4 linked regions of the Pelodiscus sinensis genome follow. The protein of the gene in region 1 interacts with the protein of each later gene in a biochemical or structural test. Links are inferred from orthologs where the notes say so. Each region holds a gene or a part of one and is shown on either strand. Other genes may lie near its edges. The genes, in order: PCNA, TRAIP, POLK and UBE2B.

Region 1 (6,887 bases):
TGCTGACCAATGGGAGCTGCAGGCGTGGAGTCTGCAAGAAAGGCCAGCATGTGGGGACCCCCTGCTCTGCCCCTCAGGCTGCATGTACATGCCAGTCACTTCCAGGAGCAGCAATTTCCATAGGAATAATTAATCGAGTTGTGACCGGTTAGGGGACTCACTACTCAAAGAATTAAATACAAGCATAAGAGAAATGAAAATTATGAATTGCACAGACCAGTCAAAAAACACACTTTGCAAGCTGTAAAAGTAGTAACAACCACTCTCCACATGTGCTGGGTCAGGATATGGGAGTGAGGGATACAGCATGTTTGTGAGCATGTCAGACACTCAGCATGTGAACACTGACAGATTTGCATTGCTAAACTCTCCATTCCCTTCTGTGCGAAGATAGGGTACAGAAGTGGGGGGGGGGGAGGGACACCCTGACATCAGTGCCCCCTTCTCCCTCCAATGCCCTGCACAGCACGCAGGAGGCTCCAAAGGGGCAGGCAGCTCCAAGACAGAGGGCAGGAGCAGTGTGACAGTGGGTGGAGGGGCAACTAAAGTGCCAGTACTTGATAGCTTCCTGGCCAAACCAGTCAGGATTACCTGTTAGAGGCTCCAAGATCTATCCATAGATCCTGATCTACTGATTGAAACCAAATTTCTTTGATAAAATGCTTTGAAGAACAGACCCATCTAGAGATAGTTGTAATTAAGATACATTATAGCTCAAAGATCTCATCATGGAATAATGATTATACATTTTAATATTATAGTATGAGAATATATAAATGTAATGGTTAAGAAAAGTTTTGTAAATGAGTTCCAATAGTTCCTGAATTAGGGACCCAATCTAAGGGTGTTCCAGAGACGTATGCATAGATTTTAGGTTATCTTCCTATCTACCCAATAGGACTCAGTGATCAGTCTAGAACAGGCCTGGGCAAAATACAACCCGCCAAGCCACCAGATCTGGCCCATGGAGGTGGTGGGGAGCCCCAAGCAGGCTCTCTTGCTTGCTGCTCAGAAAACACAGCTGTGGGGTGTTTCCTCTTTGCATCTGGAGGGAAGATTCAGAGGCTGCTCCCACCCCCAGCACAATCTTATTTGCCAGTTTCTAGAGAGAAACTGGCCAGCGGGAGTTGCTTGTTTGAACAACAGGCAGCTACCTTCCTGCTTGCTCGCTCAGGCACATGGCTGGCTTGTTTGGCTGCTAACTGGTAAGTCTCCTGGCCAGAACCTATCCCACATACATCCATACCCCCTTCTCCCAGGCTATGTCTACACTATAGTCTTTTCGGAAAAACAGCAGTTTAAAAAAAACCAACTTCACTTGCACCCACACACCAATTGTGTTTTCAAAAGAGATCAGGAGGGGTTTTTCCAACATTGGTAAAGCCTCTTTCCACAAGAAGCCTTTTTTCTGAACGAGCTCTCCAGAAAAAGGCGTGTACAGACAGGGAAGAGGCAGTTTTCAAAAGAAGAGGAAAAAGCACAGGTGCCCTGGTGGCCACTCTGTCTATAAGTCACAGCTTAAATGCAAGATAGCATCCAGTGCAAGATAACATACAATCAATGAGGTCATATCCCCAAATCCTATACCCCAGTTCCTTCCCTAGGTCATAACTCCCTCCCAGACTGCATTCTCCCTTCTGCACCCAACCTCCATTCCAGACCTCACACCTCCTCCATGGAAGAGTGCAGCCCTCAACCACTTTCCAAAATCTTAGAATGAATCCTGTATAAAAAATGATGGGCCATCCCTGGTCTAGAAGATACCATCCCAGATGCTTAGTTTTGCAATTCTCAAACTGTGGCTTTATCTCCAGAGATAGCATACTTGTTCACAGCAAGAATGTTTTTAAATAAATAGTATATAGAAATGAAACAAAACAGACCGCAGCCCTATTGTCCCTCTGCAAGTCTGTGAGCACAGAGTCAATCCCTTATCGCTCTCTAAAAGAGGCAAGTTTCAAAAAGTTCAATGAACAGAAAATTATTGGGAGCAGAATAGATCTGGACAAGGAGAGAAACATATGAAGGGAAATTGTCAGGCATTCCCATCTCAAGTAAATTACAGTAGCATTAATATGTTAATAAAAAAGAATGGGTTTGAGATATTTACTTGGTGCCTCAAATACCAGAGCCAGCGTATCAGCATTGTCCTCTGCTCTGAGCGTGATTATGTCTTCATTGCCAGCACACTTCAGTATTTTGGACATACTAAGAAAGAAAGAATTTGAAGGGATTTATTTGCAATACAGGGAGCTGCGTCCCAGCCACCCATTTCACACAGCGGCCCCCGGTGCAGGATTTCCACACGAGCCTGGGAAGGGAGATGAGCGCGAGTGACAGGGGAGCAGAGGAACAGCTCCAGGTGCTGCTGAACCTGCCCGCCCCCAGGCCACGACGCGGCGGTGGGGGGGGGGGAGGAGGAGAGCGCGCACGCTGACAAGCCGTAACTGGGCGCCATGGGGCGGACCCCACTAGCCACAGGCCCGTAGCCTCAGCGCCCCTCCCCCACGTGCAACTTTCCCGCCAGCGAGGCCGGGCGCAGCGCGCCAGCGCCGAAGTGACGTCACCTCCGCCGACAAGCCCGCGCGCGCGACAGAAAAGGCGCCAGACTGGCGGCCGACAGGAGGGGCTCGAGCCACCCCGGGCGCGGGGATGCCGCGCGCGCCCCGCCTCAGGGGCCGCAGCCCCGCTACCTGGCCAGGTTGACGCCCATGGCGATGTTGCGGTCGCAGCGGTAGGTGTCGAAGCCCTCGGAGCGCAGCGTGAGCTGCACCAGCGAGACGTGCGACGAGTCCATGCTCTGCAGGCTGATGCCGCCCGAGCCCAGGTCCCAGCAGGCCTCGGTGATCAGGTCCTTGAGCGCCTCCAGCACCCGCTTCAGCACCGAGCCCTGCACCAGCCGCGCCTCGAACATCCTGTCGCCGCGCTCAGCCGCTCCACAGAGACCCCCCGAGTGCCTCCACTGCGCGCCAACGGCCTCTTATAGCGCCGCTGCCCTCGCCTCCCGACCCCGCCCACTCGGCGCTCTCCACCAATCATACTCGAGTCACCGCCGGAAGCCCCGCCCTCAGGGCGCCTCGAACACCAATCAACGCCTCCATGATAACCGGTAGTCCTGCCCCTGAAGAAGGGCTCTCGGCTAATCCTAGAACAGCGGAAATCCCGCCCCATGCCTGTTGCTGGCCAATCATGACGTCGCCCTACGTCTCTTCATGAGCTAACACAAACATAGGAGCGTCGGCCCGTCGCTTACTGTATGCGATCAATCAACGCAGGGCTCTCACTGTCCGTACGCACGTGCCAATCACAGCGCTCCGCTCTTCTGTCCGCACAGCTTCGCCTTCCTCTGCTGGGGACCCAGCGTTCTGTGGGCAGTTGAGAAGGGATGGTGGGGGTGTCCAGGGCGCTGATAAGTGGAATGTGAGGACTCCCAAGATTCCCAGACAGAACACAGAGGACCCACGGGTTCTGTGGAAGTGGCTAGATGGAATGTTGGGTCCACCAATGTTCCACTGGCTTAGCTGGATGGAATGTGTGTGGAGAAGGTGGCTCTTCGTGCTGGGACGTTCAGGGAGTTGTAGGCCTTAGCCTGCTGGGTGGAACATCAGGGCTCTAGGTCCGTTGCAAATATGTATGTTTGCTGCTGAATGGAGCAGTGGGCTCCTGTGGGTTCTGGGATCCTGGTACATTCCTCGGGAGGTATAGGCTGTTACGAGGAAGCTGGGGCCCCAGGTTTATGTGGTGGCAATGAGTGGAATTTGCGGAGGCAGACTGGAATGTTGGGGTTCTGGAGTTCCATGAGCATCATGGGAAGGGCCAATGCGGAATACTGGAATTCTGAAGGTTCTATGGCAATGTGATGTTCCGATGGGCTGAATGACGATTTCCTGAAGGCTGCCAGCTGGGTTGTTGTATAGGTCAAGCTGTTGAGTTTGCCAACTTGCAACAATTTTGGTGGGTTATGTGGTGATGTAACTGATTTGTAGCCTCTGAGGATCTTTCCGGTATCCACAATGCTATACTCTGTAGCAGAGGTGGGCAAAAGCTGCTTTCCCTGCCCCCAGGCCAATTAGGACCTGGGAGTGAGGGAGCATGCAAAGCCTTCTCCACTCTGCCTCCACCCTGTGACCAGCGTGGTTCAAGATGGATGTTGAAAAACTGGAAAGGATTCAGAGAAGACCCATGAGATGAAAGGATTGGAAATCATGCCTTGGAATGATTCAAAGAGCTCAATCTGTTTAACTTAATAAAGAGGTGACTTGATTATAATCAACAAGTCCTTACATGGGGAACAAATAGTTGATAAGGGGGCCCTTCAATCTAGCAGAGAAATGTCAATGGTTAGAAGTTGAAGTGACAAAAATTAAGACAGGAAATGAGGCATATATTTTTAACAGTGAGAGTAATTAACTACTGAAACCATTTACCAAGGGTTATGGTGCATGTTAGCGGGGAGGGGGGGGAGCGGAGGGTGTGTTACAGAAGACCCCCTTGGGGTTGCTTCTCAGTGTGCTAATAAAGCTACTGACACTGGCCGCCTTGCTCTCTGGGGTTTCTCACAACCCTGTCTCGCTGGGCTAGATCTCCTGGTCTCCAGCTAAGACACAGAGTTGAGATCAGCTTCCCTGCCAAAAGAGCAATGCAGACATTGAATGACTTCAGCTCTGAGGAGAATGCAATTTCAGACACAGCATCCAGGAAACCAACCAATCCCCAAAGGGTATCAGAACTGCAAATAAATCATTCAGGCAAGCCCCTTCTAACAATGAAAGAAGAATGTACACACTGATTGTTCCCAGGTAACAATTATTTACACTAGGTTTGATAGTAAAAAAAGTAATTTTATTAAGTATAAACAGTAGGAATTATGTGGTTGCAAGTGAAAACAGAACAAGTAAATTACAAATTTACAAAAAGCACAGCTAATTCTAACACACTAAAGTTTATTGTATACTTACCCTAAAACTTGTTATTTCTGCTAAACTTCCAAGTCAGGGAAGTTCTCTTTCTTCTGTGATGTCTGGCCAGCTAGCCAAAGACAAAGAGCCTAAAAACTTTTGCATCTTAAATAGACTTCCTTTTGAGCAGGAATTCTATTTCTATATTCCCCCCTCCAATGGAAAATTACCTGGTCCCAGTTGGTGTGGTTACATGTCTTTCTAGGACCAACCACTGCTGAGAGACTTAAAGGATGAAGGAGGCTGTTTACAGGTGATCACACAGACATTAAGGTTTCATTTGCACATTTAAAACCATTAACCTACCCCATTCCCTACCACATATCGCTAACTTTACATACAAGATATACGGATCCAGCAGATTGTGACATTAAAATTGACAGGACATGAAGTATTTTGTCCAAAGCATCTTCGAGTTATGCATATTTGTATCCATAAGACAGTTTCATAAAGTATTGTGGGACAGGGGAAACCATCACAGTGCATACTCCAGTCACGGACAATTTTTAAATCAAGGTTGGATGTTTTCTTGAAAGAGCTGCCCTAGTAATTATTGTGGGGAAGTTCTCTGGCCTGTGCTATATGAGAGGCCAGAGTAGATGATCACACTGGTCCATTGTGGCCTGGGAATCTGTCCTCAGGACTAACCTGAGGAAGTTCAGCGCCTGAGACAACCTCCCATCACAGTTCCAGGCATGGAATCTGGGGACCCCTCCCACTACTGAAGGCCCTGCCCTGTCCTACCCTCACTCCACTCCTCCCCCAATACCCATACCGGGTCCACTCATCGGCCCCTTCACCCAAGCAACATGGCCTGGGGGATTACAGGGGCCTAGTGTGGTGGCAGCAGGATTTCTTTCTCCCCTACTGACCACGTGGCAGCAGGAGCCAGAGCAGCCTGGCAGCCTGCTGTGCTCTGCCGCCCTCGCCTGCTGCGTCCCACTTCTCTGTGGTGGCAGGAAACAGCATGCCGTGGGTCCAGAGCGCTCTGCTTCCCGCTGCCACTGAGAAACTGCACAGCAGGCTGGGAAAGGGTGGCACGGTGGGGTGTGGTGGAGCAGGCTTCCAGGCTGTTCTGCTTTCCACTGGCCACATGGTATCTGTGGCTGACTCCTGATGCCGCCCTGTACCAGGCCCCTTACATCCATAGGACAATTGGGGTGGCTGCTGTGGGGCCCCCAAAAACACTGTGCTCATACCCCAAACCGTGGCTTGCATGTCTGCACAGGATCCAACCCTGTCTGGGCAGGTTAGGAAAGGTTATGATGGACGTAGAGCTTCAGACCTCTTGTCTGTTTTGCATAGCACCAGGGATTCTATGGCACTTTGTGTGGAGACAAGGAGAAATCTTTAGCTGGGAAGGATGTCCATTTCCTGGGGAGGGGCCAGGAGGCAGCACATTGTAGCAGAGGTGCTGGAATAATTTGTACACTAGGGTTACGTCTATACTACAGGCTTTTTGTGCAAGAATTGTTTTGCACAAGAGTTCTTGTGCAAAAGGTCTTGTGCAAGCAAGTGTCCACACTGCCATGTGCTTTTGCACAAGAGCATCCATTTTAGCCATAGGGCTTTCTTGCGCAAGAAATCCCTGTTGCCTGTCCACACTGCCTTTTTGTGGAAGTGCTCTTGCGCAAGAGGGCTTATTCCTCCTGGGGATTGGAATAACTCTTGTGCAAGAAGCCCTGTTTTCCAACGCTTTACTGTAAATTTACTTGCGCAAGAACGCGCATGCAGTATAGACGCTCTGCAAGTTATTGCACAAGAACAGCTGTTCTTGCACAAAAAGCCTGCAGTGTACAAATAGCCTAGGACCGGGGTCATCAACCGGTCGATCGCGATCGACTGGTTGATCACAGGGCCTCGACCAGTTGATCGTGAGGTGTTCGTCCCCCCTCCATTTCCCCCCTACTCCCGAGAAGCCCCACTACC
Region 2 (7,212 bases), on another chromosome or scaffold:
TTTAATCAGTTAATGTTTAACTGGTTAAACAAATGGAATTTTACATCCCTAATGTGGAGAAGAACATCCAGTCTCACACTAGCAATTGGAGCTTCAGAGCCCCTTAAGAACGGTGTGTTTATTGCAGCACAATGATTAGCTTAGCCAGCCAAATCCAAAGGGCACTGTTCCCCTTCCTCTAAAAACATTACTGAGCAAAGCAAGCTCCAGATGTTCATGAGTCAGTGACCTTCCCAGGATGCTCATTTTTGTGTAGAGGAGTGAACCCTAGTACACATGCATCCCCTGACGCTACCACACATTCAGCTGATCCCACAGGAAGAGAACATGTCGCCAGCCCAAATACACAGGAACTCAGCAAAAGCCTGGAATTGGTTGGGATTGTTTTATCGTTAGCTTGTTGCTGCTCTCGCTAGAGCACATGGACAAGCAGTTGGTGGAGGAGCAACACATCTCTGATGGAGAGGACAAGGAAACCAAGACCACAGATGGGAAAGGGACAAGCATGAAAGGATAGGGCCCAGCACCACACCTGAGTTCAAGAGCATTGCAAGTTGCAGCCCCATTTCACTCTAGCACATTCCCCCAACAGAGGGGAAAAAATCAACATGCATGGCCTCAGAGGAAGCCAAAGCACCACGCCCTTAGCCAGAAGGAAGGTCACTGTGACAAGCAGGTTTAGGGCAGAGGGAAAATTGTGGAAGACAACAGGAACAAGGTTGAAGGAAGAAGTGAGACTTGAACAGTAGAGGTGTTGCTAGGAAAGGAAAGAAGCCTCTTTCCTTTTAGCAACTATTCAGTTACCAGAGTTGCGTGTCCAGCCATCAAAAGAAATTCAGAAGCAAAACTTCCAAAGGGGAACCATAGTGGCCAACAAGCTACACTAGGCTTTGGTACAGACTCTTCTGTGACTAGTTCTTCAGCACTAAAACAGAGAGATGAGATATCTCCTCACCTCATGGTGGTATTGTGGCGGGGACTTTAATATTCAAAAAGCACTTGAGGAGCCTTCAAAGATACCATGTTGCAAAACGGACAAATTTATTTAGTGAACGTTCGCAAACAAGTATCAAGCACAAGTTTAACAACAGTGGAATGGATAGGGAATCTGGAGACAGATCTTACTACAACATGCCTAGCTCCAATCAGCACTAGCCAGTCAAGAACTGTGCAGGGTTTCCCACATGGCTCAGTTTTGGGCTGGTTGAGTAGAACTGCACCTCCATTCCCTACTGCAGTCCTCAGCTCCATTCCAGCTCTACCAAGGCACTGTAACGTGACCTACAATTCCAGTGCTGACAATGAAGCACAAGGCCAACCAACACAACCTCCTGTTATGTTAGTCCTGCATCTCTCCAGAACTGGAGGAGCCCAACTTTCAGAACCGTAAACTATAACAACGGCAAATACACAGTGCAGGTTTTAAACGTCTGTTTGCATCCCTACCCATCTCAACTATGACATTTGCAAAGAGTGGGCCTGGAGAAGAGGAGGCTGAAGAGTTCAGAGAAGGACATGCAAGATGAGAAGAGACGGTGCCCCAGTAAGCGCTGAACCCATCACAGAACATGAGCCCAGGGATGCCCATGCGGAGCCGGCCTGACGCCCCTGTGGGACACAGGGGCTCAGGGCTACTCATCGCTGCCGGGGGAAGGTGTGCCCGCGGGGGACGGGGATACTCACCACTGCTGGGGGAAGGTGTGCCCACGGGGGACGGGGATACTCACCACTGCTGGGGGAAGGTGTGCCCACGGGGGACGGGGATACTCACCACTGCTGGGGGAAGGTGTGCCCGCGGGGGACGGGGATACTCACCACTGCTGGTGGAAGGTGTGCCCGCAGTGGATGGCGGCAACGTCCCGCTGGTTGTCGAAAAAGTCAGAGCAGATGGTGCAGTGGGCGCGGATGGGCATCCTAGGCAATGAGCCCGCAGGGAGCACCCACTTCAGCCTGGGCAGATGGACACGCCCGTCTCAGCAGCGCCCCTGCGGGCATTTCAACCAGCCCAGTCCGAGTCCCCCCCAAGTCCCCACGGCTGGGCCAAGCACCTCCCCATGTCCGAGCCCCCCCCCCGCGGCCAAGCGCCTCCCCATGTCCGAGCCCCCCCCCGCGGCCAAGCGCCTCCCCAGGTCCGAACCCCCCCCCCCCCGCAGCCAAGCACCTCCCCAGGTCCGCGCCCCCCCCCCCGCAGCCAAGCACCTCCCCAGGTCCGAACCCCCCCCCCCCGCAGCCAAGCACCTCCCCAGGTCCGAGCCCCCCCCAGTCCGAGCCCTCTCCCCCCCCACGGCCAAGCGCCTCCCCAGGTCTGAGCCCCCCCCAGTCCGAGCCCCCTCCCCCCCCACGGCCAAGCGCCTCCCCAGGTCCGAGCCCCCCCCCGTGGCCAAGCGCCCTAACTGGGCCGAGCCCCCCCACTGCCAGGCCAAGCGCCGCCCCGGGTCTGAGGCCCCCCCCATGGCTGGACCAAGCACTCCCCCCAGGTCCGAGCCCCCCCCCCCACGGCCAAGCGCCTCCCCAGGTCCGAACCCCCCCCCCCCCCGCAGCCAAGCACCTCCCCAGGTCCGAACCCCCCCCCCGCGGCCAAGCGCCTCCCCAGGTCCGAGCCCCCCCCCGCGGCCAAGCGCTGCTCCGGGTCCGAGCCCCCCCCCCCCGCAGCCAAGCGCCTCCCCAGGTCCGAGCCCCCCCCTCGCGGCCAAGCGCCCTAACTGGGCAGAGCCCCCCCACTGCCAGGCCAAGCGCCCCCCCCCGGGCCGAACCCCCCCAGGTCCGAGCCCCCTCGCTGCCGGGCCAAGCGCCCCCCCCAGGTCCGAGCCCCCCCGCTGCCGGGCCCCCTTGGTCCGAGCCTCCCACGACCCCCCTCAGCTCCCGGTCCAGGGGAGGGGGTTGGGCGCGGCTCGCCTCGCGTTACCTTTTCAAATTTGGTTCCTTCCGAGGCCACTTCCGGCATGGACCGGAAATGACGCAGCAGAGACAGGCGCGGGATTCGAGCCTGCCCGCTACTCGGCCGAAGGGGGCGGGGCCGGTCCCCGCGTTCCTCCCCTGGCCTCGCCGGGGCCCTAGCGCCGACCGAGCACCCGTGGGCTCAAGGGGCGGGGCCTGCGGACCTAAGGGGCGGGGTTTGTGTGATGAAGCCTGGCTTGTCCCAGAGTCTCACCTTCCAGTAAACGGGTGTCCAGCCCAACAGCTGGTGGGGAACCTGGCAAACGCCCTGCGCCCAGGAGGTGCAGGCCGCTCCAGCCTTGTGGGAGTGTTAACTCTGAAACTGAATGATGGTGATTTGATTATCAACTCCAGCTGTCCCCCTGCCAGTTGTTACAGCAGGAACAGCGAATCGTGCTCATGACTCCCCTGACTTTGTGGGCTTCTGAAGTCCCAGCTGACCCTTACTCCCCCTCCAAAATCTCCTGCTTCCAACACACTGCCCAGCTCTCTTCCATGTGCGTGACATCCCTGTAAGTGCGCAGGCCCTGACTTGTAGCCTAATAGATAATGCACCAGTCCTGCAGTAGGATATGCTAGCATAGAATCCTAGAATACTAGGACTGGAAGGGACCTCGAGAAGTCATCGAGTCCAGTCCCCTGCCCTCACGGCAGGACCAAATACTGTCTAGACCATCCCTGATAGACATTTATCTAAGCTACTCTTAAACATCTCCAAAGATGGAGATTCCACAACCTCCCTGGGCAATAGGCACATGGGGCTGCAGGAGTGGAGCTTACTTCAGGATAGGGGGCTAACTAGAGGCCTCAATACATCAGGTGCGGCACGTGACCCTAAGCAGACTAGGTGGTCGCCTAGGGCACCACCAGCCCGGGGCACCCCGTGATTACGTCACGACCACTGACAGCCTGCTACAGCCGGCCTCAAACCGCTCCTGCAATACAGTGACATAAGACGACTTGTATGAAGAGAACAAAGCAGAGAGAACAGAAAGTGCAGCACCAAGGAGGCGGAGGCTGCTCATCCAGGCCCAGCAGAGCAGCAAGCAGAGCCAGACTGTCTCCAGTGCAACGCAGAGCATGTTAGCAAACCGGGCTGGGGCAAAGAGCTCTGGGGGGAGAGGAGAGAAGGCGCTTGCAGGACTGGGTGCATTGGTAGGGGGAGCAGTCAGAACTGCATGCTAAATGCCACGTATCCTATGCGGATGGAGCCCGCTAAGGAGGTGTCTGGCCCTGGTTAGCCTCAGGAGCTGAACTGAACCAATATGGGCTGCTGCACATTCCTGCCACTTCTCTGGCATCCCCAGCAGTTGCTGGGCATTTTCATCTCAGTTCATCAGGTTTATAGCATCTCATTTGGGAAGAAAAGCTCCTAATGGTGCAGAGCTGGCTGCCTGGGTCAGTTCTAGAGGCTCTTACATCACTGTCATCAGTGGTGTCATCGTTAAGCTTCAGCGTTAACAGTTTAATTATTTAACAGTTTAGCAAGAACAGCCAGCTACTCCTGGGCCAGCTAGCTCACGGAACTTGAGCATGGCACATGCATATGCAGGAATCACTTCTGCTAATATGGGAATGCGGCCACCTCTGGGGTGGGACACAGCTGTTGCTGAACAGCACACAGCAAATCTATAAAGCCTTGGGACAGGCAGAAGGGAATACCATGTCCCATTGAACATCAGGGGTGGGGGGGGCAGTTGGGGAAGTAGAATGCAGCTCCCTAATTGGAGGTTGGCTGGCACAGCCCCATTTATACCTGTCCTCCTGTGAACAGCCCTGTGGGTCTCTAGCGAGCCCCGACGTTTCTAACAGAGGTCACTTCAATATCTAAGAGCACCACAGTCGGCCTTGGGAGGGACGCCGTGGCAAGCGCCTGCCCTGTGCAGTCAGGGTGACGTGCCATACCAGTGTGCTCCCAAAGACAGAGCCTGGCAGGGTCGCTCGCTCTGCCTATGGGACTCACCTGTCCAACGGTGGGATCGCGAGTCTTCCAACCCCCTCCAAGCGCCTCCCCGCAGGCAGCTCCTGGTGCAGCAGCGCTCTCAGTCCTCGGCCATCGTCTCCTCGAGCGTCAGAGACCCGGCAAACTGCCCTGCTGCCCACAGACCTTCCGACCAAGCAGTGGGTCCAGTGCAAAGGACTCTGGGAAACACCTGAAGAGGGGACGCTTGGGAGCGGCTGCTCATTGGCTCTCACTGATCTGCCGGTTTGATCCCATTTCCTTGGCCATCACAAAGGCTGGGGGCCCCATTGCACGAGACCAGTGACAGCCCGGAGCTGCCCCTGGGCATGCCGGATTGTTAGCGGGGTCCCCTCTCCAGGGCCACATCCTGCTCCAGGGCGGAGGGACGAGTGGCTGGGGAGTCACTCCCATGCCAGAGAGGCTCCAGCTGACTGCCAGCTGTTTCCCAGCTGCTTGGGGAGCAGAGCGTGCTGCTGCCATACAAGTTTAGGGCCGTGGCGAGAGGACAGCAGAGAACAGCTGGGCTGGACTGGGGGAGGAGGGTCTCCGAGACTCAGCGATTAACCTCCTCTTAGCTCCCCACCTCTGCCTACCCCCCTTCCCTCCAGCCCCCGAGTGTCGGCGTCCCACCCCGTCCCAGCCGGGAGGCACAGTGCAGCGGAGTTGCTCCTGGCACCAGCCAGGTGGGCGAAGTGGCCCCCGGACGGTCGGCGCTCGGCCGCACGGCAGAAAGAGACAGAGCAGGCGTGGCTGGTGCTCTCAGTTTGTCCTCAGAAGGTCTTTATTTGCCAGTGGTACAGTGCAGCGATCACACAGCAGCTTCTGGGCGGTCGTGGTGGAAAGAAACGTTTGAGACAGGACCCAACCCTACAGACATGCAGCTGCGAGTCAAGGAGAGGGGGCAGGAAAGCCGGAGTGGTGGGCCCACAGCCCGGAGAGCCACAGGCTGGGAGAGCCCGGGGGAGCCCCATTGGTGGCAGGTCAACCCCACAGGCCCTTCGCAGTGGGACTTGGGTTTCCTTCCTGTTTAGTTTGGGGCCAGGGGAAGAGGGCGCAGGGAGCTGATGGGCCAGGCCTGTCACTGGGGGGAGTGGAGAGGCCCAGCTCTGGTCAAGGGCTCTCGTCTGGACTCATCTCCCCTCCCCTCAGAACCAACAGCCACAAGCACCTTGCACCCAGGACCAGGCAGGCCTGCCTACATCTAGGCCCAGGGAGGGTTGGAGGGGCACCCGGGGAGGCAGTGGGGCCCAAGGAGGATGGTTGGGCGGCAGGGAGGATGGTTGGGGGGCCCAGGGAGGATGGTTGGGGGGCCCAGGCTGCTAAAATACAAGCTGGCCAAGGCGCTATTTTCCCTCAGACCTGCCCTGGGTCTGCCAAGCATCAGCACGGCGGGGAGGGGGAACCCGGCAGGCAGCTGCCTCCATAGCCAGCTGCAGCCAGAAAAGCCCCTCGCCTGGGCCGGCCAAGGTGCAGAGCCTCTGTGCCCGGGCGGGGCCGCAGGACACGGGGTGCTGTGACCCCGCACACACAGCAAGCGCTTACACGGACACCCCCCCACGCCAAGGCCCGGCCCCGAGCTGTGCTGGGCACGGCCCACAGGTGCCCTGCTGCTCCCGCCGACAGGCCGGGTGCCGCCACAGGCGGGCTGCACACCCCACACTGGGCCCAGGAGGAGAGGCCTAGAACAGTGCTTTGGCCGTGAGCCCCCCGCCCTGCTCCGATAGCCCGAGCCAGGGGCCCACGTGCCTGCAGGTCGGCGCACCCAACTCCCTGGCCACATGGGGCTGGTGCAGCCATGGGACAGCTGGAGCCACCCTTCCCGAGGGGGCTGCCGGCCCTGGGATGTTCCCAGCAGCCTGTGTTCCTACCCGGGCGGCTCCAGCAGGGCCGTGACGCTCCCCCTACATGAGCCACCAGGCTGGGCCGCAGGGAGCCTAGGAGGGTGCTGCCGTGCGCCAGCGGGGTCTGGCCCTGCCCTCAGGCCCTCAAGCAGCAGAGCAGCGCATGGACCCCCCTGCACGTGGACCCTCCCGCACGTGGACCCTGCTCGGACAAGCCTGCCCCCCAGCACGGACTGGGGCCTACGGGGTAGGGCGAGGCTGCGCTGCCTACTCTATGGGTGCCCAGGCAGGTCTGCAGCCTCCAGGGCCAGGCGCCACCGGCACCACGGAGAGGAGACACACCCAGGCCCCTCGCTCCGCAGCAGCCCCAGCTCCAAGCAAGCTCAACGGGCACCTGTGGGTGCGGCCACGTGGGCAGTTGGATCTGGGATTGACGGCAGCCTAGGCCTTGTGACCCACGAGCCGCCCCGC
Region 3 (7,575 bases), on another chromosome or scaffold:
GCCCCTGCAGCCATACTCAGTTTCATCTTCAGATTTGTAGTAACTTAGAGTGTTGTTTTTCAAGACTACCCATCGGTCCTGCCATCCATGAATGTAGTTAGTCCACTATAAAGAAAAAAGAAATATATCTCAAAGAGCTAGCAAAGTCTGCAAATAGTAAAAATACTGATAAGAGATGACACCTTGTTTGCTTGTTAAACTTCCTGATAATTTAAAAATTAAAAATGCAGTTTTTCAAAATTCTCCCCAAATGACAAATTTGCTATCTCTTTGATCAGAAATCATCAATTCTTTTCAACCACTTTTGTTGCACGGTAACCTAAGCCAATTTTACTTCATTAACAATAAGACTGAAATTATGTCTTGATTGTAGAAGTGGTATCACAACCAACTAAAACAAAATGTTCATTACAATTAAATTCATGAACGCAGAATAGTTCAGTGAAAAATTAGAAACATAACTGGTAAAACAGTTCGGTTTTGTCTTCTTTAGGCTTAGAAGCTAATCTTTTGGTTTTGATGTTGCAGAACTTTCCATTAAAGTAGAATAGAGAGTTTTCATATCTGTTTACATAAGATAAAAATATTGCTTTTAAGAAGTCTCATTCTCCAGATCATATAAAGATTCATTTATACAAGGTAGGGATGTAATACTGCAGTCGATTAACCAATTTATAGATAAGCAAAAGCTTATAGGTTAATGCTGTCGACTACATGCATTTCCCTCCCCAGTAAATTTCGGTGATAACAGCCCCCACATTGTAAAAAGTGTTTTCATGTGGTCAACATTTCTAATCAGTAGGACTCTGCATGGGCAAATTTAGGCAAATACATTTAAAAATTGAAGAGCTAAATACTTAGCTTCTTTTCCCCTTACTTGTGGAGTAATGAGGGCTTTCTGGAGTAATGAGGGAAAAGACCCAGAAATAGCTATTCTACACTAATGCCTTACGTGGACACTCTTCTTTCACCTTAAGTGCTTGTACTTAGATCAGGCACTTAGTGTAGAATCTGAGTGACCACAAAAGGGGTTAGAGTAGAATAGCTATTGCACTTTAATTTCACATGGCAACTATTTTACATTAACTTCCTCATGAACTCCCTCTACAGGCAAGCAGTACAATCAAGCTTTTCCCTCCCGCAAAAATGATGAAATCCTGACTACCTAAGCTACTGCAGGGAATGCAAGGAAATGTAACCCCTTTATCAATGGTTTGGAATATTGTTTTATTTTTAAAAAGTATTTTTATGTTTAACTTAACCTAAACATATTATGCTGCAATCATTTCAGATAAAAAAATCATTTGACTCAGGTATTACTGAAGACATGAATTAACTAGCAAAGAATTTGAAGTCAGCCAATCATAATACCTTCCAGCAGATTTACTGCAGCAGGTTTTATCATATTTCACAATTCAGATTATTTCTCATTATGTGTTTTCACTTGGACGCTAACAGTAAAGGCAACAGCTATCATATGAGTATAAGCACTACATACATATCTCTAAAGATTGCACACAGTGCATTTATAAGATGACACATTTGTATGGGAAATTCTTTAGGATTTAACATACGTGATAATTTATCATTAGGACCTAGAATATAATTCTTATTCATTTCATTTGCCAATATTAAAACTGATGGCATACTACTAGAAACAAATACCAGATTTTCTACTTAATGATCTGAATCATCTAATAGGGAGATAACGTTGCAGAAATCTTGGGTAATAAACCCAACATTTCTGAGCCGAATCATGTAAAAACATATTTCCTGTCCCCTCCACAGCATCAAACATGAAATCCTGAAGATCAGTGCCAAGGCCTGCTTCCTCTCCTCAGCACTTCTCTCATCTATGATCTTAGAAATATTTTTTAATTGGAGAGTTCATAAACAGAGTCTCACTCCCTCACAAAAACATAGTAACATAACTTTTTCAGTATCAAGTACTGGGCAAACTTTGAGGCTCTAGGGAAATTGTATGGTGGGCCATAAATGTAAGGCTAGGTCAGGGATGGGGGCTCAGGACAGGAGTTCAGGACAGGGACTGAAATAGAGGGCTAAAGGTGCAGGCTCCAGCCAAGCACCACTTACTTTGGGCAGTTCCTGGTCAGCAGTGCCAAAGCAGGCTCCCACCCTGTCCTGGCCCCATTCTGCTCCTAAGGTAGTTGGCTCCTGGGGGGAGGGGGCGGAAAACGGGTGGCCCCATGAGCTACCCTTGCCTGCTGTCACTGTCTCCACAACAGCTATAAACCATGGTTCCCCATTCCTGGCCAATGGGAGCTGGGGGAATGGTGCCTGCTGATGAGGACAGCATGTAGAACCCCCAAGCCCATGGGGTTGCAGGGATATGCCGAACACTTCTGTGGAGTGACACAGGCCAAGGCAGGAGTAGCCTGCCTTAGTCCCACGGCACTGCCAGACTGATAATCCTGAAAGCCAGATTAAAAGCCCTGAAGGGCTGGATATAGCCCACATGTTTTCCCTACTCATGATCCAGAGCTGCTCATGATCTCCATATCCCATGACCCATCCACTCAGTTCTGCCTTAACCCCTCTGAATATAGAGAGATATGCAAAAATATTTAAATTCTCTTGGCATTAAGTATATATTGAGAAGCTACTTTCTTCTACTGAAATTGTTCAATTAAAACATTTAGTCTTTAAAACATTATTTAAAACTTAATTCCCTAACCCGATATCTCACAATTCATTTTTATCAAATTCACAGCAATAAAAGAGTAAAAATAGATTTAATTCCTACACAGATAAGCATAAGCACCACAATTTTTAAAAGCAATAATCCATACAATTTTTCCTTTTTCACCTCTTTACTCCGTTCTCTTGCTGCAAGGGTATTTTATTACACTGTTTTAATGCCGGGATTAAAGGCCATGCCACTCCTCTTTGACGTATTCCTATTGATTAGAAGTGATTTGTAAGGGCACATCACATGCTGCTATTTCCTGCAAAAAGTCTTCGCAAGAAAAAAAAGTGTTTCCTTCGTGACCCCCAAGAACTCTCTCTCCTCCCTATACAGATTCAGTGCTGGAGTCCAATCCTAGTCATCACAGCTATCCTTCCAAACTAGCTTGTAACGCACACTAGCTAGGATAGGATTGCCAGGTTCCAGACAAAAACCTGATGAATAGAGATGCCCTCACTGCCCCTGCTCACCTTCTACATCAGTCTAGTTACAAGCCTGCGGTCCCAAAATGTACGCTTGCGGAGGGTGAGTCAGGGGATGGGGTGCCAAGTTGGGGGATCAAGAAAGAGGAGACAAGGGAACACTCATTCATGCAGAGTACGCCTACCCATTTAAGAAGGGAAAGGGGACTATGAGAGCACCCCCCATCGGTCTGCAGGATGGATTTTAAGACAGTCTGCACACCCTGTCCGCGGGGCTCCCCGCCTCGCCTAGCTTACGGGAAGGAGAGCACTGACAGCGGCAGGAGAGAGATGGAGAACTGCGGGGGCTGCGCTGGCAGCAGGGAGGGCCGGAGGGGACGCCCTCGCGGGATGTGTGGGCCGTTACAGCCCCGCCCGCGGTCTGGGAGTGGGTGTTTGCCGGGGAATGACTCATTTTCAGGCTTTCTTAGGTCAGGTGGCCGCTGCCCCAGCCAAGCCAGCCCCGTGTCTCCGCGGGGTGGGCGAAGGGGTGCGGGGCTGCCCCTCCACACGGGTAACTGCCAGCGAGACGGGAGCCTAGCCCAATTCTGCAGGGTAGCGCGGGGGTGCGCGCGGCCCCAGCCGCCCGGGGAAAGAGCAGACTCCGAGTCCCCCCGAGGAAAGGGGCTGCTGTTGCTCACCTTGCTGAGGACCCCGCAGAGCTCAACAGGCGGCCCGGACTCGGTTTCGGGATCCTCCTCGGAGCCGGAGGAATTCCAGCTCTGGTTGTCCGACATGGAGGCGCCGCCTGCAGCCACCGTCGAGCAGGGAAACAGCGAGCGGCCCCCGCCCACAGCAGCCTCCTCCTGCCTTGGGGACGGGAGCGACGGCCGGGGGGGCTCTACCTGGGCGACACCTCTCGGCTCCCGGGGTGGCGCTACCCGCGCCTGGCCTCTTTGCAGCTGCCGGGGCCGCAGCTCCGATACTCGACTCCTCGCCTCTGCCCTCAGTGCAGCGCCGCTGCCCCGACCCACAGTAAGAGCCACAGCGCGAGGGGTAGTGTCCACTGCCACTCAAAGCGCCACCGCAGCTACCGCTGCCGCCGCCATCTTACTCTAGGAACTCGCTCTCTGCCACTATTTACCAACTCCCCCCAACCCCACTTGGCAGGGGGAGCGCATTGCTTGCTGGGAATTGTAGTCTGGAGGGAGGGGCAGGAAGCGTGATGGTGTGATGCATCCTGGGAGGCTGGGAATGGGGGGGGGGTGGAACTTGGGAATTGTAGTCTAGTGAGAGGGGGCAGGGCCGCCACCCTTGATTCAAAAGTTAAGAACGGCCATTTTAGGTGGGTTGTATGTGTGTCTCCTAATTACGGCCTCTCACCCCTCCCCCCATCTTTTCCCCAGTGCCCGCCCAAAAGCTTAGCCGCGGTTCCGCTTCGGTGAAGGCAGTAGTGGGGAGGCTGGTCTATGTCTGACCTGTCACCTGCTCTTCCCTCTAGCTCCTCTGTTGCGAGCGGGAACGGTTCCTCCTCCCAGCTTGGGCAAGGAGGCGATCGCCCACCCCCCGCGTGCGGCTGTTCCCCCTGCCCCAGTGTGGCCCTTGGGGAAGACGTTCGGTGTTTTCTCCCGTTACAAACGGCCCCTTTAAACAAGGTGGAGGCGTGGCTGGGGCAATGAGACGACAGGAAGCGGCGGGAGCGGGCAGGGAAGTTGAGAGCCGCGGTGGTGTGTTGCGTTGCGACAGAGCAGGGGTAGCTCGAAGTGATGCGTTTGCCCGTCCGCAGGTAACCCAGGCCGCGCCGAGCCGCAGCGTCCTCCGTCCGTGGGGTCGGCACCGGGGGGCTGGGCTCACTCGCGTCACTGAGGAGCTGCTGGCACTGGGAGGGAAACCATCGGTAGCCAGACCACCCTGCGCCCCAGACCCAAAGCAGGAGATTTCGGGCAGTAGGTGCGAGGCGAAAGGGCATTCACTGCTTTGTTCCTTGCTCTTCTCAAAGGAAGTGTGTTAACCTCTGGCCTGTGAAAGAAATCCTTTCTGCACTGTGTGTGACTGATAGATGTCCTGCAGGCATGTCAGGGCATGTCTGCACTGCACTATGTCTACACTAATACTTTTGTTCTTAAAACTCATCTCAGTTGGATGGGCTGTGTGACCCCCACCCGGGCAAGGCTGATAGATGCTCTCCTGCTGATATAGCTCCCATCCCTTTTTGAGAGTGGTCCAGTTATGCCCACAAAAGCTCTTTCTTATGTGGCTGCATAGGAGATTTTATAGCAGTGCAGCTGCATCAGTACAGATGTGCTGCTGTAAGCTGTCTAGTGTGGACAGGCCAAATGCTGCCCCTCTTCCATCCACACACATAACAATTAGATTCAAATTAGCAAGCATTCATAATCCAAGTCCTAGGATCCTGGGTCAGGGAGGGGGAAGTGTTAGAGTTCAAGTTGTGCTGTGGCTCTGGTTCAAGTCAAATCTTGTCCGAATCTTTGTGACAATCTTATGTTGTAGTACGTATGCAGGACAAGCAGCAGACCTGAGTCAGAAGGCCTGCATAGTGCAGTATGGTTCTGTGACCGCTGGTTGCAGGAATTATAAATAGGGTCCTACCAAACTCACAGCCATGCTTTTACCCGGGAGACCAGTGTTTCTCAAATTGTGGGTCCTGACCTAAAATGATGTTGCAGAGGACTCATAAGGCTATTTTAGGAGGGTCATGTTATTTCCACCTTTACTTCTGCACTGCCTTCGGAGCTGGGTAACTGGAGAGGGGTGGTTTTAATGCTGGTCAGTGGCATTACATAAGAATGGCTGTACTGGGTCAGACCAAAGGTACATCTAGCCCAGAAGTCTGTCTGCTGACAGTGGCCAGCGCCAGGTGCCCCAGAGGGGGTGGACCGAAGACAATGATCAAGCCATTTGTCTCCTGCCATCCATCTTTAGCCTCTGACAAACAGAAGCCAGGGACACCATTTCTATCCCCTGGCTAATAGCCTTTTATGAACCTAACCTCCAGAAAATTATCTAGCTTCTCTTTAAACTCTGTTATAGTCCTAGCCTTCACAGCCTCCTCTGGCAAGGAGTTCCACAGGTTGACTATGCGCTGTGTGAAGAAGAACTTTCTTGTATTAGTTTTAAACCTGCTACCCATTAATTTCATTTGGTGTCCTCTAGTTCTTCTATTATGGAAACTAATAAATAATTTTTCTTTATTCGCCTTCTCCACACCACTCATGATTTTATATACCTCTATCCTATTCCCCCCTCAGTCTCCTCTTTTCTAAACTGAAAAGTCGCTTTAGCCTCTCTTCATATGGGACCCGTTCCAAACCCCTAATCATTTTAATTGCCCTTTTCTGAACCCTTTCCAAGGCCAAAATATCTTTTTTGAAGTGAGGAGACCACATCTGTACACAGTATTCAAGATGTGGGCGTACCATAATTTTATACAGGGGTAGTAAGATATTCTGTGTCTTATTTTCTATCCCTTTCTTAATAATTCCTTACATCCTATTTGCCTTTTTGACCGCCGCTGCACACTGTGTGGAAGTTTTCAGAGAACTATCCACGGTAACTCCAAGATCTCTTTCCTGATTTATCGTAGCCAAATTAGCCCCCATCATACTGTACGTATATTTGGGGGTTTTTTTTCCAACGTGCATTACTTTACACTTATCCACATTAAATTTCATTTGCCATTTTGTTGCTCAATCACTCAGTTTGGTGAGATCTTTTTGAAGTTCTTCACAGTCTGCTTCTGTCTTGACTATCTTAAACAGTTTAGTATCATCAGCAACTTTACCACCTCGCTGATTACCCCTTTTTTCAGATAATTTATGAATAAGTTGAACACGATAGGTCCCAGGACTGACCTATGGGGGATGCCACTAGTTACCCCTCTCCATTCTGAAAATTTACCATTTATTCCTACCCTTTGTTTCCTGTCTTTTAACCAGTTCTCAATCCATGAAAGGACCTTCCCTCTTATCCCATGACAATGTAATTTACACAAGAGCCTTTGGTGAGGGACCTTGTCAAAGGCTTTCTGAAAACCTAAGTATACTATATCTGTTGGATCCCCCTTGTCTGCATGTTTGTTAACTTCTTCAAAGAACTCTAATAGATTAGTAAGACATGATTTCCCTTTACAGAAACCATGTTGACTTTTGTCCAACAACTTATTTTCTTCTACATGCCTGACAATTTTATTCGTTACTATTGTTTCGACTAATTTACCTGGTAATGAAGTTAGACTTACCAGTCTGTAATTGCCAGGATCGCCTCTAAAGCCCTTTTTAAATATTGGTGTCACGTTAGTTATCTTCCAGTAATTAGATACAGAAGCCGATTTAAAGGATTGGTTACAAACCACAGATAATAGTTGTACAGTTTCCCATTTGAGTTCTTTTAAAACCCTTGGATAAATGCCATCCAGTCCCGGTGATTTGTTGTTAAGTTTTTCTATAT
Region 4 (7,809 bases), on another chromosome or scaffold:
CCTGCCCCCACTGGCACCCCGGCCCTCTGCCCTTCCTGTTCCCTCTTCCCTGCCCCCTCTTCCCATTCCCCAGCCACAGAACTCTGTCCCCACTCCTGTCCCCAGCCACAGAACTGTCCCCACTCCTCTGTCCTCAGCCACAGTACTCTGTCCCCAGTGGCACCCTGTTCCCAGCTGCAGAAACCTGTCCCCACTGGCACTCTGTCGCCTGCTGCAGAACCCTGTCCTCTCCCCTCCCAGAACCCTGTTCCCTCTCCCCTGCCCCCAGCCGCAGAACTCTGTACCCACTGGCACCCTGTCCCCTGCCAAAGCACCCACTAGCACCCTTCCCCAGTACTATGTCCCCTGCTCCCACCAACACAGTTGGGGCTACATTAGTGAAGCTTGGGGGAGGGGGTTGGAGAAGGGTTTTTTTGTACCTCACTTGTGTGGCCCCAACTGACTTTTCTGTGGGTCAGTGACCCCTGACTTAAAACAGGTTCCCTGCCCTTCTCAGAAATAAAGACAATGCAGAAACTTGTTGTGTTTGACATAGAATTTTATTTAAAAATGAAGCCTGGCCAACAAACCCCCAATTGGGGCCAAGCCCCCATCTGGCTACAGCATCATAACACTCCTGCACTCCCCTTTCCCCTAGGTCCTACATATGAGCTTATCATACACTGGAACCCCCTGCCCTGAGCCCCTCACATACTCCAACCCAAATTCCTGAACCCTAACATCCAGAAGTCTGTGGCTTGCTTAGTATCCTAACACTACATCTGACCCCAACACTGCCCAGCCTGGAGCCCCCTCCCTGAGCCAGCGTCCCCTTATTCACCTCCTCCTGCATCCAGATTTCCTCCCAGAGCTTGCACCTCTCACCCCTTCCCACACCCAAATCCCTCATTCCCACCCCAGAGCCTACACATCCTGTCTCAACCCAGTGAGGGTACGGCTAGACTGCAGGAGTTTTTCATGATTCTGGAGATATCCCAGAAAAGCTCTTCTGCATCCAGGGATGTTTGTTCTTCCGCTTTTTAGTGGAAGAGCAAACATGATATTTCGGTCACCCCTATATTCCTCTTTCCACGAGGAATAAGGGGGCTTCCAAAAGAAGGGGGTTTTCTGACATTTGGTCCAGTCTAGACAGGCCAAATGTTGGAAAAACCTCTTCCTACAGAAGAATTGGGGAAAAAAGCAGCAGTATAAGGATTGGGGATAGCAAGTGATGGAGAGGAGGAGAATAGAGAGGGTATGGCTTCAAGGAAGGGGCGGGGTGGTAGATCTTGGCTTGTTCTGTCATTTAAAAAGTGATCTTGGGTGTAAAAAGGTTGGAGACCACTGCTATAGGGAATCCTCAAAATTAGTCTGAGGCAGGCTTCCCTAATGTAGACTTGCTACCTCCATTTAGAGCCCCAGGATGGACTGAGGAGTAATTACTTTGAATGGCCCTGCAGAAGAGCTATTTTGAAATAGCAGCAGTGGACTATCCACACTACTGCTATTTCAAAATAGCTATTTTGGAATAGGCGTTATTCCTCATGCAATAAGGTTTACAGAAGTCGGAATAAGCTGTCCGTTATTTCAGATTTATTTCGAAATAATGGAATTGCTGTGTAGACGCTTGCATTTTTATTTTGGAATAACGGTCTTTATTCTGAAATAACGCTGCTGTGTAGATGCACCCTGAGACGCTGCTCCTGTCCTCCCCAGAGACATTGCAGAAGCCTGCATTGTAGACGTAGCCTTACAGTTTTATCACACCTCTCTTGATTTTTGGAGCTTCAGGGGGTAGCCAAGTTAGTCTGTTACAAAAAAAACAGCAAGCAAATGGTCTGGTAGCACTTTACCGTCTACATGTTTTGTTAGTCTATAAAGTGCTGCCAGACCATTTGCTTCTTGATTTTTTGAATTTTTCTTTAAGCCCTATTTTGGAGTCATATCATTACACGAGAAACTCAGCTATAATTTCTTTTTTAAGTTTCTAGTCCTCATGTTTGCAGGCGAAGTTTTGAAATGTAATTCAAGTATACGTCAAAGGCTTAAACACTAGATAAACAAACAAACAAACAAAACCCTACAATTAGAAGTGGTCAGAAAATTGAGATTTTTTTCTGTTGAAAATTTTGACTTTGTATCAAAAACCTAAAAACTGAAATGTTCTCATATGACAACTAGAAAATTTCCATTGGAAACAGACACTGAATTTTTGTTTTGTCAAAAAAAGAAACAAAAATACTCCCCAAAACAAATTTATATCAAAACTGTATTACCCAAAATATATTATTTTTAAATGTAATTATTTATAAGGCTATTGTGAGTTTTTGGAGCCTTGGGTCACAATATTTGAATGCTTCAGGGGATAGCTGAGTTAGTCTGTACAGGATAAACTTAAAAAACAACAGATTGTCTGGTAGCACTTTATAGACTAACAAAACATGTAGATGGTATCATGAGCTTTTGTGGGCACAGCCCACTTCTTCAGATGACCAGAGTTTATTTGAATGCTTAGGATTGGCACTATTGTAAAGAAAGGGGGAGAAACAATTAAATTGCACATCCCATTACCCCACAGCCTTTGGGCACCACAGAAACCCCTTCATGATGCAGCGGGGGAAGAGGCTTAATGGTAATTACGGTATGGCAATTTAAGACTTGAGCATGGTCTACATTTAAAATTTATATTGATGTAGCCACATTGGCAGTAGTGGGTACCTGCAGCTCGAGGGCTGCATACAGCCCATTGGGGCTCTGTGTGGACCTACAAGACATTTTGTTTACTGTTGCCCACACACAGGCTTGCCAGATTCTGCTGGGTTTTGTCCATCTTGTTTTTTAAGCTTAAAGCAAGGGCACATGAAGTGATGTATGTGCTAAAGTGATGTGTGAGAGCCCTGCACTCTCTTTGCAGCTCATCAAATGGCTGCTACAGTTCATTTGGCACACCCTGGAAATTCTAGGTACGCAAGTGCAGTTACCAAAACTACCCACTCCAAAGAGACTGTCTTTGTTACAACAATCCTGTGGCCCATTGAGATGAAGGAGGGCCACTCATGCAGCCCACTTATTAGCCTCGGTTGCCCATCCCTAACTTAGGACTTGAAAAATCCATACTTCTGAGATGCCAACCTCACCCTTAGTGTGGACACATCTTTGTCATTGAAAGAATGCTTCCATTGCCCTAACATATGTCACTCAGGGAGTTACTGTTTCTATACAGATGAGAAAACCCCTCTATCAGTGTAGGTTGAGTTTTTAGTACTGGGTTATGTTGTGGCAATATAGCTATACCAGTATAGTCCCTGTAGCATAAGCGCAGCTTCAACAATATGAGCTTCTTGGGGAACTGTGCTGGAAGCAGCATTAACTATGTCCTGAGTATAATATCCCCGACTAGGTCTGGTTTACACATGAAAGTAATTTTGGAATAAGTGTGAATTTAAAGCAGAGTAGCTATTTTCAAAAAGCTCCATGTTTGGATTTTTTTATTTTGGAATGAAATTGTCTTTCTCTGGTTTAATTCAATCCAGGTACAAAGCGTGAAAGGCAGGGAAGGGCCGGGGGAAGCTGCTGCCCACTTTCCCCACCCTACTGATCTATGAAGTTTTCATGCCCAGCCTCACACCTGGCTGTTGAGAGTAGGATAGGTGGGAATTTGTCAAGACTGCTCATGTGCCTAGGATGGTGATCACCAACCAGTCGATCGTGATCGACCAGTTGATCGCAGCGCCCCTAGGAGTCGATGGGCAACTGCCTCTCTTTGATCCAGCCCTGGCTGGAGCAAAAAGGGGAAGCCGCCCAGGTGGCTGCCCCTCTTTGTTAACTTGCTGGCGAGGGGGATGGGAAGAGGCATGCATCCCCAGCTCTTGTCTCCTGCTCCAGGAGGGGGCAGAGCTGGGCCTGCTCTGCAGAGCGAGGGCTGGGCGGGTGGCACACGTGGCATGGTAGAGAATGGGCTATGCCACGCTGTTCCCTGCGGGCTGTGTGCGGGGTTGAGGAGCCCCTTCCCCAGTGCCCTGCTGCATGGAGCCAGCCTTGGGCTCTGCCTGCCCCAACCCCAGAACCACTACCAGCAGGCAAAGGGCTGATCCGGGCAGGGAAGAGACTCTGCCCCAGTGCTACTCCCAGGAGGCTGCAAATCCCATCACAGGGCGGGGTTGCACAGAGGGACATGGGGTGATGGGGGGGGGGAGGGGAGAGTGAGGCTGGAACAGAGGCAAGATGACACTTTTACTTTGCAGAAGTTGCATTTTCCTTTACTCCCCACTTCTTTGCCTCCCTCCTCAATTATCTATTTGGCTGCATGCTCATCCTCTCGCCTTTTCTGTGATACTCCCCCAGCCCCCTTCGGCTCCCAAACTCCCTCTCGTACCCCCACCCCACCCCCTCTCCTGCCGCCAAACTCTCTTCCAGACCCTGCCAATGAATTAAGCTGTAAACCCCCTCTGTGATGGAAGCCTCTTCAAGCCAGGTGATGGGCAACACCCCCAGCTCCAGCGGCACCTACATGGGTGTGAGCTATTTCTTCATGTTCCTAAAGCCCGGGGAACCTGTCAGGCAGGGTCTGAGTGGCGCCTTCAGAGCGTTCTCCTGCCTCCAGGGCTGCTCCCTGCAAGCCGGGCAGGTCCGGGGACGCGATTCGCGGACAGCGCAGCAGCTCCCCCCACCCCGTGCGGGGCCGCTGCGCGTTCTGCGGCTCGACCGTCTGCACCTTGACGCCCCCCAGCGGCACGTTGGAGGGGTGGAAGCTCCCTCCCCCTCCCGGTAGTGGTGCGTTCCTCTCTCTCCGCCCTCCCCTCGGCAGAGCGAGTGGTACGGTCGCGGAGGAGCCTGTGACTTTCCCTCCCCCCGGCGGAGGGAGACGCCATTGCAGGGTTGTTTGTGTAGCCGCTGCGGGCTGGGGAGGGAGACCGCGGCGCGGTGAGCGGTGCCGAGGCTCCGTGGGGGCAGGGACTCTTTTCCCAGAGAGGATCATGTCCACTCCGGCCAGGCGGAGGCTCATGAGGGATTTCAAGAGGTGAGCGTCTCGCCTGGGAGGCTGCGCGCTGGGATCGCCCCCCCCCTCCCCGAGGGGGCACCAAGCTCCCCCCCGTGGGTCTCGCTGGCGCCCCGCTATGCCTTGCGCGGAGCAGGGCCCAGGCAGGAGCCGCCCTGCGGGGCTGAGCTCCAAGTTCCTGGAGCTGCTTTGTGTGGGGAGAGGGGTAGGAGCCCCTTCGGTCTGCATCCCAAGGGAGGCAGTGCGGGGGGGCCACCTCTCAGCAATTAAAATAGCGGGGAGACAGGGGGTCGGTGCACCCCCCATATTACCAGGAGCCCCCCCTGTGTGTTCCTGGAGGGCTCGGCGGGTAGCCCCCCTGTCGCTGAGGAGTGGGAGCAGCTCCTCTCCCTGGCGTGGGGATGGAGATGCAAGGGGGTTCCCTGTTTTGTTTCCGCCCGCTGCTGAGCTGAGGTTGGCCCCGTGAGCTGGGAGAGTAACGCCTAAGGAGCTGTCCCAAACCCACTTGAGGCTGGCACCCAGGAAGTGCCCCGTCCAAGCCTGCGATCCGTGCAGGGTGTAGGCAGATCCATCATGAATCCTGGGTATCTGCTTCAAGACCAGCCTGACCTGGTCTGGAGGCCAGTAGTAACACTTGGCTCTTGAACAGCACTCTCCTCAAAGGACAGGTCCATATGGCTGCCTTGTGTTTTACATGGGGAAATGGAGTCTGCAGAGGTGAAGCAAGTTGCCCAAAGTCAATAACAGAGCTAGAAATAGAATCCAATATGCTGACTTCCAGCTTAGAGCCCTATTCACTGGACTACATTGAATCCCTTAATTCCCCCCACTACATCAAGTATGTACTTCAGTCTAGGGCTTCTCCAGGTACAGGATTTAATCTGCTTTATCTTTGTCCTGTTTCTCCTCCCCTATGCTGGACTGTTCTTTGAGAGAGTTAATAACACAGAAACAAACTTCACTTTCCTTGAGAGCAGACACGATCTAGAATGCAAAAACCTCACTTTATGCTGGTAAAGGAAAATGCTGGTTTGTCAAAGGTCTGTTACTGGAGTTGGGACTACAGGATAAGCAGCCTTTTACCCCTGAATTCCTTGGGACGGAGATGCTGAAAGGACTTGGGTCTATATGGTAAATGCTGTTCCTACACATGCACATCAATAAGAAAGTTAACATCTCCTATCCCACTAAAGATATTGGTTAAACCTCTGCTTCTGTAGAAAGGAGTCTGTTTTTGTTTTTATTTAGAGTTACTTCCTCTAAAGTTCTCTGCTCATTCCTGTCTTCAGGATGCCTTATGTCTTTAAAGCAATAGCCACTCTCCTTTTTCTGTCAACATGAGAAATGTCCAAAGAGCCTTTCATTATATTGCATGTGGTCTGTTAGACAGCCTGTATCATTCCTAAAAGCCACTGTTTATAGACCAAGCGTTTATTTATAACATTTAAAGTAGTACATTATAATTATATCAGAGATTCCATGATGCAGTAACTCTCTAATATAAGGGAATTAGCTCTATGATGTCAAACTTTGCTTCAGGCTGGAACTTGACAGAGGAGAGAATATTGAGCCTGTAAATATTTATGCAGGTTTCAAATGCCCATCTGTACTCTCATTATTCAAATATCTTGGTTTTTTTAAAAAACATCTCTGGAGATCCGGCATCAACATTCTCTCTTGTTGGTTTTAGTAACTTTTTTGTGGGCCTGGAAGTGAAATGCTTAGTGAGTAAAGCTAAATTTTTCAGAGATGAGTTCCCTCATGGGTGGGACAGTCCTCAGTTTTTGGGAACCTGCCTTGAGATAGTTTTTTGGTGGTCTTCTACCCTTCCTGCCGCTATCCTCCCACTGCTGAAGAGCCACAACTCCAGCTGAAGTGAATAGAAGTGTCAGATTCTTGGCCCTTCTGAATGAAAGCTTGTCTCAGTCTGGGCACCTAATTATGCACACTGAACTGATAAACACTTCTGGACTCTTGTACATACTATTCTGGTTGATAACTTCTGTCTCACATTGTTTAAAATGTTGTGTAAACAAGGACCTTTTGCTATATATTAGCAAAAACATAGTTATATTCTGTTTAAAAATTATGAGTAGCCCTGTGGCACCTTAGAGACTAACAAAGTATAAATAGTATCATGAGCTTTCATAGGCAAAACCCACTTCATCAGCTCCTCTGTTCATCACCTGATGAAGTATGTTTTTCCCACGAAAGCTCATGATACTATATATATTTTTGTTAGTCTCTGAGGTGCCACAGGACTACTCATCATTTTTAAACAGAATATAACTATGTTTTTGCTAATATACAAATGGAAATAGAAGGTGCCACAGGACCACTTGTTGTTTTTAAAGTTACAGACAAACATGGCTACCCCTCTGGCGCTGTCTACACAGCTTCCCTCTTCCACAAAAGCCTGGGCAAATGAAGCGCAGATTAGCATACTGTCTCACTTCATTTGCATAATTAATTAGGAGCTGTTTTTGCACAAAAAGCACCGTCTACACAGCGCCTTTTTGTGCAAAAACCCCCCTCTTGTGCAAGAGCCGTTTTTCCTCATTTTTTCAGGAAGAACGGCTCTTGCTCAAGAGAGGGGTTTTGCGCAAAAAGGCGCTGTGTAGATGGCGCCTTTTTGCACAAAAACCTTTTGTGCAAAAAGGGCTCCTAATTATGCAAATGAAGCATGGCTATGTGCTTCATTTGCAGTATGCTAATATGTGCTTCAATATAGGCTTTTGCAGAAGAGGGAAGCTGTGTAGACATAGCCTCTGAGACTGTTTAAAAATGGTACATGCTGAGCTAGAGAGACTCTTTTAGCAACTGTTCCAGTT

Evidence for each region.
Region 2: the proteins of PCNA (region 1) and TRAIP form a complex in vitro, tested with the Homo sapiens proteins (2 studies listed by BioGRID, with this or other methods). The link is inferred for Pelodiscus sinensis from reciprocal best matches to the Homo sapiens genes PCNA and TRAIP.
Region 3: the proteins of PCNA (region 1) and POLK form a complex in vitro, tested with the Homo sapiens proteins (2 studies listed by BioGRID, with this or other methods). The link is inferred for Pelodiscus sinensis from reciprocal best matches to the Homo sapiens genes PCNA and POLK.
Region 4: of the proteins of PCNA (region 1) and UBE2B, one has a biochemical effect on the other in vitro, tested with the Homo sapiens proteins (2 studies listed by BioGRID). The link is inferred for Pelodiscus sinensis from reciprocal best matches to the Homo sapiens genes PCNA and UBE2B.

Annotation. Positions count from the first base shown.
Region 1 is NC_134738.1:703,186-710,072, forward strand, and holds the start of PCNA (proliferating cell nuclear antigen), read right to left. Parts: upstream 3,011-6,887; 5' UTR 2,915-3,010; coding exon 2,694-2,914; intron 2,209-2,693; coding exon 2,111-2,208; intron 1-2,110. UniProt on the Homo sapiens protein: Auxiliary protein of DNA polymerase delta and epsilon, is involved in the control of eukaryotic DNA replication by increasing the polymerase's processibility during elongation of the leading strand.
Region 2 is NC_134721.1:45,809,004-45,816,215, reverse strand, and holds the start of TRAIP (E3 ubiquitin-protein ligase TRAIP), read right to left. Parts: upstream 3,015-7,212; 5' UTR 2,906-3,014; intron 1,951-2,905; 5' UTR 1,914-1,950; coding exon 1,816-1,913; intron 1-1,815. UniProt on the Homo sapiens protein: E3 ubiquitin ligase required to protect genome stability in response to replication stress.
Region 3 is NC_134716.1:84,589,842-84,597,416, forward strand, and holds the start of POLK (DNA polymerase kappa), read left to right. Parts: upstream 1-4,568; 5' UTR 4,569-4,894; intron 4,895-7,575. Other genes in the region: CERT1 (ceramide transfer protein), read right to left, coding at 1-105, 3,810-3,905. UniProt on the Homo sapiens protein: DNA polymerase specifically involved in DNA repair. Plays an important role in translesion synthesis, where the normal high-fidelity DNA polymerases cannot proceed and DNA synthesis stalls.
Region 4 is NC_134727.1:28,262,478-28,270,286, forward strand, and holds the start of UBE2B (ubiquitin-conjugating enzyme E2 B), read left to right. Parts: upstream 1-4,795; 5' UTR 4,796-4,955; coding exon 4,956-4,999; intron 5,000-7,809. UniProt on the Homo sapiens protein: E2 ubiquitin-conjugating enzyme that accepts ubiquitin from the ubiquitin-activating enzyme E1 and transfers it to a E3 ubiquitin-protein ligase. In vitro catalyzes 'Lys-11'-, as well as 'Lys-48'- and 'Lys-63'-linked polyubiquitination.